Stegostoma tigrinum: one gene and its partner. The protein of the gene in region 1 purifies or fractionates together with the protein of each later gene. This does not show direct contact. Links are inferred from orthologs where the notes say so. Each region holds a gene or a part of one and is shown in the gene's direction. Other genes may lie near its edges.

The links.
Region 2: the proteins of syntaxin-7-like (region 1) and si:ch73-234b20.5 purify together in Homo sapiens (affinity purification with mass spectrometry; 7 studies listed by BioGRID and IntAct, counting the BioPlex papers as one, with this or other methods). This does not show direct contact. The link is inferred for Stegostoma tigrinum from reciprocal best matches to the Homo sapiens genes STX7 and VAMP8.

What each region holds. Positions count from the first base shown.
Region 1 is NC_081357.1:71,869,583-71,873,332, reverse strand, and holds the start of syntaxin-7-like, read left to right. Parts: upstream 1-1,206; 5' UTR 1,207-1,309; intron 1,310-1,486; exon of another isoform or gene 1,487-1,570; intron 1,571-1,592; exon of another isoform or gene 1,593-1,694; intron 1,695-1,835; exon of another isoform or gene 1,836-1,958; intron 1,959-2,201; exon of another isoform or gene 2,202-2,223; intron 2,224-3,750. UniProt on the Homo sapiens protein: May be involved in protein trafficking from the plasma membrane to the early endosome (EE) as well as in homotypic fusion of endocytic organelles. Mediates the endocytic trafficking from early endosomes to late endosomes and lysosomes.
Region 2 is NC_081354.1:77,937,273-77,941,022, reverse strand, and holds the start of si:ch73-234b20.5 (vesicle-associated membrane protein 8), read left to right. Parts: upstream 1-1,246; 5' UTR 1,247-1,401; coding exon 1,402-1,404; intron 1,405-3,750. UniProt on the Homo sapiens protein: SNAREs, soluble N-ethylmaleimide-sensitive factor-attachment protein receptors, are essential proteins for fusion of cellular membranes.

The sequences.
Region 1 (3,750 bases):
TATGTGAAATCTTTTGACAGGGGATAATTTTAAATTTTGCAAATTATAAAAAAATTTTGAAGTATTGTAAACTGTGTGGATGGCAGTATAAAACTTCAAAGGATTTTGACAAGTTGGTGTAGTGGTTGTATCAATGGCAGTTGAAGTTCAATTTGCAGAATTGTGAGGTGAACATGCAGATATAAAGGGGACAGACAGAGTAAAAAACAGATACTATTCTAAAGGGAGTGCAGGAGCAGAGAGACCTGGGTATATAGGTGCATAATTCATTAAAAGCAAGAAAGCAGGTGAGGAGTGAGGTTAATACAGCATATAGTATCCCTGGCTTTATTAATAGGTGCACAAACCACAAGAGCAAGGATGTTATGCTGAACTCATTTAAGACATTAGTTGGAACTCAGCTAGGGAATAATGCACAGTCTGGGTGCCATACATCAGGATGCACGCGAATATATCAGAAAGAGTACAGAAAAGGTTTACAAGAATGGTTATGAGGATGAGAATGCTCAGCAATGGTGATAGATTTGAAAAGTTTGGACTATTTTCCTTGGAGGGAAGACACTCAGCAGAGATCTGAAAGAAGTTTTCAAGATCAGGAAAGCTCTCAACAGAGTAGTTAGGGAGAAGCTGTTTCACCTTGTAAAAGAGGATGAAAAGGGCAGACATTTTAACTGTTTTGGCAAAGGGGCAAACATGAGGTGAAAGGAAACATTTTCACAGAGCAAGTGGTTCACGTCTAGAATGTACTACCTGGAAGTGTGATGGAAGCACGTTCAATGGAGGCATTCATGAGGGTATTAAGTGATTATTTAAGTGGGAACAATGTGCAGACTTATGAGGAAAGGGTAGGAGATTGGCATTAAGTCAAACAGCCCAGAGGGCCTGTGCAAACCCAATCACTTGAATGGCTTCCTTCTGCACTAAAGCAGCTCAGTATTCTGTGATATATCGCACTCCAGGAACTTAGTAGATACACCAAGGCTGGATCTTCTTGAAGGTCTGATAAAATCTTGCACTTCTAGCACTCTTGTTGGTTGAGATGCCTGAGAGTCCATCTGCCTCTGGTACATGTAAAAGACCTCACAGCACTATTTTGACAAAGTCCGCGGAGGTTATCTCTTTTTCCTTGGCCAATATTTATTTCGCAATGAACATCACGACATCAGACTGGGTGGTCATTAGAAAGTTGGTGTTTGTAGAGTTTGTACAAAGGTGGCTGCTGCACTTCCGGTATTGCGAGTGTTGACTGCGTTTCAGAAGCCCTTCATCAGCTGTCAAGTTTGGAAGTCATGAAAAGCCCTACGCCAACGCAAGTCACTTTTTTAACTTAAATTTTACCCCAGAAACATACTGCTTCCCCTTTGCCTTCAAGGACAGGGCAGATCTGATACAATATATCGACAGGGAAGGCCCTTCTTCGGCCGCCAGCGACAATCTACGCACGCGCCAGGCAGCCAGGTGCGGTGCGGGGTGGGTAAGGTCAGCGGATCAAGGGGGCGGGGCCGGCGTAGGGTCAGAGGCCGAGGTGGTACCGTCAGGGTAGGTGGGGTTGAGTGACCGTCCCGAACAGGTAGGATCCGCTGTACACTGATCTCCCGGTCTTTGTTGGTGCTGGTAGGCAGGCTAGGCTCTGAGCCTTGAGGGGGAGGGATCCGCCTGGAAATGCGGCCGGGCCTCGGAAGCAGCCAACCCCGGTGGGTAAGAGCCCAACCCAGCGCTGTCCAGTCCAGTGTTTCTGCCGGTTCCCCCCTTTCCCTTGATCCGGGGAGATCAGCCCCTTCTCTCCCCAGTCCCACCACCCCCACCTCCCCGCTCCCTTTCCTCGCCCTGTAACTAGTATAGAGCTGTTTGTGAGGAAGGGAGCATTGAGCCAGGGAACTCTCTTGAAGGACGTTCTTATGAGTGCGTCTGTGTGGAGGAATTGATCCCAACCGACAAGAATGACCAGACAGTCCCAGGTTTGCCTCCCCCTCCCCTCTCCCAGCGGTGATTTCTCTGACCCTAACCGGGGTGGCAGTAAAAAGGTTTCCCAGTTATTCAGATTTCTCACCGTGTTCAGCAACTCTGACGGGGCGCCTGGGTTTCTGTGTGACCACAAGGCTGAGATTTCCGTTTCTGTTTATTTCAACACATAATGTAGAACAGCTCGGGCTCTCTTAACCCTCCCTTGTTGACAGTTACCGTCGAACTTGCCGGTGATGGTGGGTTATTTAGCAAAGAATCGTAAGTGACTGGTGTACATGGGAGAAATTTGCAATCTTATGTTAGCTGTGGGGCGCATTTGGTATTTTTCAGATGTCTGAGTCAGAAAGATTTGGGCTTAAATGCCATTCCAGAATTTTAACACAAAACACAAGGCTAAAACTCGATAGCAACACCGAGGAGACGCTGTACTGTCGGAGGTGTAAACTGAGGCCATGTCTATCATAAGATAATAAAATGTGAGGCTGGATGAACACAGCAGGCCAAGCAGCATCTCAGGAGCACAAAAGCTGACGTTTCGGGCCTAGACCCTTCATCAGAGAGGGGGATGGGGAGAGGGAACTGGAATAAATAGGGAGAGAGGGGGAGGCGGACCGAAGATGGAGAGTAAAGAAGATAGGTGGAGAGAGTATAGGTGGGGAGGTAGGGAGGGGATAGGTCAGTCCAGGGAAGAGGGACAGGTCAGTCCAGGGAAGAGGGACAGGTCAAGGAGGTGGGATGAGGTTAGTAGGTAGATGGGGGTGCGGCTTGGGGTGGGAGGAAGGGATGGGTGAGAGGAAGAACCGGTTAGGGAGGCAGAGACAGGTTGGACTGGTTTTGGGATGCAGTGGGTGGGGGGGAAGAGCTGGGCTGGTTGTGTGGTGCAGTGGGGGGAGGGGACGAACTGGGCTGGTTTAGGGATGCAGTAGGGGAAGGGGAGATTTTGAAACTGGTGAAGTCCACATTGATACCATTAGGCTGCAGGGTTCCCAGGCGGAATATGAGTTGCTGTTCCTGCAACCTTCGGGTGGCATCATTGTGGCAGTGCAGGAGGCCCATGACGGACATGTCATCTAGAGAATGGGAGGGGAAGTGGAAATGGTTTGCGACTGGGAGGTGCAGTTTTTGTTGCGAACTGAGCGGAGGTGTTCTGCAAAGCGGTCCCCAAGCCTCTGCTTGGTTTCCCAAATGTAGAGGAAGCCACACCGGGTACAGTGGATGCAGTATACCAATTGGCAGATGTGCAGGTGAACCTCTGCTTAATGTGGAATGTCATCTTGGGGCCTGGGATAGGTGTGGGGGCAAGTGTAGCATTTCCTGCGGTTGCAGGGGAAGGTGCCGGGTGTGGTGGGGTTGGAGGGCAGTGTGGAGCGAACAAGGGAGTCACGGAGAGAGTGGTCTCTCCGGAAAGCAGACAGGGGTGGGGATGGAAAAATGTCTTGGGTGGTGGGGTCGGATTGTAAATGGCGGAAGTTTCGGAGGATGATGCGTGTTCTCCCTTGTGACATTCCACATTAAGCAGAGGTTCACCTGCACATCTGCCAATGTGGTATACTGCATCCACTGTACCCGGTGTGGCCTCCTCTACATTGGGGAAACCAAGCAGAGGCTTGGAGACCGCTTTGCAGAACACCTCCTCTCAGTTCGCAACAAACAACTGCACCTCCCAGTCGCAAACCATTTCCACTCCCCCTCCCATTCTCTCGATGACATATCCATCATGGGCCTCCTGCACTGCCACAATGATGCCACCCGAAGGTTGCAGGAACAGCAACTCATATTCCGCCT
Region 2 (3,750 bases), on another chromosome or scaffold:
TCTTCAGTCATAGCCTTGTGAAAGTTGCAGAAGGATGGGATGATGTCAGGAGCCCTATCCAATTCAGTGTCACTTTTAGGGGATTCAGTTCCCAGACTTGTCCAAAACCAATGGCCCTTTGCCTGGGAAAAATCATCTATATTACCATCACCACCACAACCCCAGCCCGTTTGTACTTAGCAATTGAAAAATTGCCTGTAGTGTGCCTGTAGAAATTTCCATTTGCGTTGGTGGCAGTCAAGGCTTTTGATAGAAGCTAAGACTTTGTGGAATAAAGCTCCATTGTTTCTACATTTGCAATGAGCTTGTCTGAAGCAATGTTGGTGGTCAAGATGGAGAGGTCAGAACTGAGAAATGTCAGGAGTACTTAATGCCACGGGAAAGGCATGGTTCCATTGCTATAAGAATGTGGGTATTTATGGAGTCACGGAGTTATACAGCCTGAAAACAGATCCTTCAGTCCAACCAGTCCATGCCAAATATAATCCCCACCTGCCTGCTCCTGGCCCATATCCCTCCAAACATTTCCTATTCATATATCCATCCAAATGTCGTTTAAACATTGTAATTGTACCCACATCCACTACTTCATCAGGAAGTTCATTCCTCACGCAAACCACCCGCTGTGTGAAAAATTTGCTTCTTATGTCTTTTTTATATCTCTCTCCTCTCACCTTTAAAATGTGCCCCCTTACTTTGAAATTCTCAATCTTAGGGAAAAGACAAGTACCATCAACTCAATCGTCACCTCTCATTGTTTTATGAACTTCTGTCAGGTCACCTCTCAACTTCATATGCTCCAATGAAAAGTGTCGAAGCCTGTCCAACCTTTCCTTGTAATTCAAACCTTCCATCACTGGCAACATCCTGGCAAATCTCTCCTGAACACTTCAGCTTGATAATATCCTTCCCATAACTGAGTGTCCAGAACTGGACGCTGTATTCCAGAAGAGGCCTCACCAATATCCTGTATAACCTCCACATAATGTTACTGGCAATTTTGAACAGGTTTTGCAGATGGTAAGTGAAAATCATAACAGTATTTTTAAAAAGTTTTGAATTAGCTGTACCACTGCCAGGAATACCAGGAAAAGCCATATTTCTGAGGGAGGGAATCAGGAAGTACACCTGTTCAGAAACCTATCAGGTGTTGTAAACACCTGCAGAACAGGAAGCACCTCACCTGTTGCTATGGTTTCACTCTGTAACAGGCAACACCTGTACCTATGTTCTGCTAGCTTCAGTGAAAGGAGGAGGGGAAATAATCTTGCATCGGCTCTGCTTACAGGCTTGCGTTCGATGATAATTTTGTAATCCAGTTGTTAAATATTAACCAGCTGGTTCAACATTTTGTCTTCCACTTCACTTATCGGCAAAGGCAGGAGAAGTTCACAAACAACAATGGTAAGCTTTGGGCTTTTAAGTCCAAATTTCTAATTTATGTTCATATCTATATTTTTTAATACAAGTATACTGATGACTTATAAATAAGGTATATAAATATACTGCGTATAGAAGCTTTTACGAAAAGTGCAAAGCAAGAGGTGGAGAACCTAGGAAGCATAATTGTACTGTAATCCGAAAAGACTGGAGATTTTGGGCCTACTTTAGTTTTCCTCCAGGTTCAGCAAAACATATTTTTCCACAGGTATTTACACGTATGAAGAGAATTGTCGTAAAATTTGTAAAAGGACCTTGCTCAAAATATTCGATGATTTGTTATAAAAATCCATTCAGCAAAGGCCTAGCTGAGAAAATGTGGTGTTTTGCATATGGGCTACTACTTTGGGTACCCCTCCCTCACCAAAGCATTAATGGCTCTTTATTGTTTTGCTGTTATACCAACTGAATCACAATTTGCATTACTCCCAGTATAATGCAATAAATATCAAACACAACAAATTACTGTTGCATTGGCTTTTGGATTCAAAATTGTAATCTTTGTCCAGATTTGCCCCTCTTTGCTTTCCCCTTTTCCTGAAGTTGCTGCTTTACACTGGGTGTGACCCCACTATCAAAAATAGCCCTTCATGGTTGTCCAAATGACCCCATTCCAGGTGTCAGGTTGTTTCATCACTACAGGATCACATTTAATCCTGAATCTGTTTTCACCCAAATTTCCCACATATTTTCCCGCAGGAATTATTAGTGATCAGGATCAGGCTCTGTGGATAATATGTTTTTCGTTACCACCCTGGGGACATTGGTACCACTCAGATTGCCTCCCTACTCCAAAACAATGCCAGCTGAGACAGGTTGGATCAGCCCAGGAAGCTGAGGAATTTAGGACCATTCCATGTGTATGATCCAGCACCTCAGAACAAGGTGAAGTTATCGTATAGGGAGAGGGAAGTAAGAGGGGTGAATGTTTGTTTCTTTATGATGAGCCCAACTTCCTGTAGGCCATGTGGGTCTCTCAGAAATATCTGTTGAAAGTCATAGCTGTTAAATTTGATAAGGGTGAAATTCTCAATTATAAACATAAATTATAGCAGAAACATAAACACAAATATACATAGGCCCCAGGGACATTAAAGTGACATTAATATGTTCTCTGTTCTGACCTTTCTTTCACTATCTTTCACTTTTTTCTCATGTACTTTATTCTATGTTTCTCATTGTCTCTTTGTAGGTACAGAATTTATAACAAAAATAAAACTCTTCATGTAAGGAGTGCTGCTCTGAATATTTCTAATAGAGGACTTTGAGTACAACTATAACTAGTAGAACATCCTGGTCTCCACAGAGTCTTAAAACTAAGGTACCAATAGTGCAGACGCTGGATATTTGGTCTGGACTGAGCAGCATGGTGTTCAACACAAAGTCTTTATTGAAGTGAAACTTAAGATGTCTGCCTCTAGGCTGATTGCCTCATCTTAGAAGTCACATGACAATAGCACACTAGGACAGACATTTATATATGGTTGCATTTCAATCCAATTACCCTCTTATTGTTCTACAAAAAAGGTATGTATTGTCACGCAGGTAGTTTTAGATAACCAAATCACCAACTATATACAGTAATATTCTCATGCCTTAGCACTTCATTATTTTCACCAGTCTCTGTGTATGCATTGGATACATAGTCCTGAAATCATGCTAGTCTCTCCATGGTATGTGCACATGCTGTCATAATTGGCAGTTCATTCTCCGTGATGTCCCTTCGGCAGGAAGTGTTATTTGGATTGCTGCAGTAGTTGTTGTGCTGTTTCTGTTTTTGTGTTGCTGTGGACCTCAGTATCTGATGGTTGATGTGTAGGTGGTGCTTCATCTCTTCCCAATCAGCTGCCTGCAGTATTGGAACAGCTTCTCAGCCAAGTGTACGTGCCTGTGGTTGCAACAGTATATCTGGCAGCTCACTTCCACCACCTGTGAAGTGGGTTATATCTGCTCCATGCTGGTTTCAAGTTGCCACTTGGGCTGGCTTTTGTTGAATATTTGTACCCTGACTGGATCTTGCAATGTTTTAACAGTCTTGGCAAAATAAAATTTGGTTTTCTGCCAGTTGATCGTGCTTTTTCACTCACACCTGTTACTATTTCTGGCTTCCATTTTTTTTTTTTGCTTTTGGAACAGTAATTTGGGTGTGGATTGACTTTAGTCTTTGCACTGGACTACTTTCCAAGCCCTCAGTATGTGTGCTTCTCCACTCGAGGATTGCTGTGTGCACATCTGGGCAGGATTTACTTGATTTCTTTATGATTCCTTTAGAATTTTCATTGCCACCTCAAGCCTTTCCTTTTGACTCTG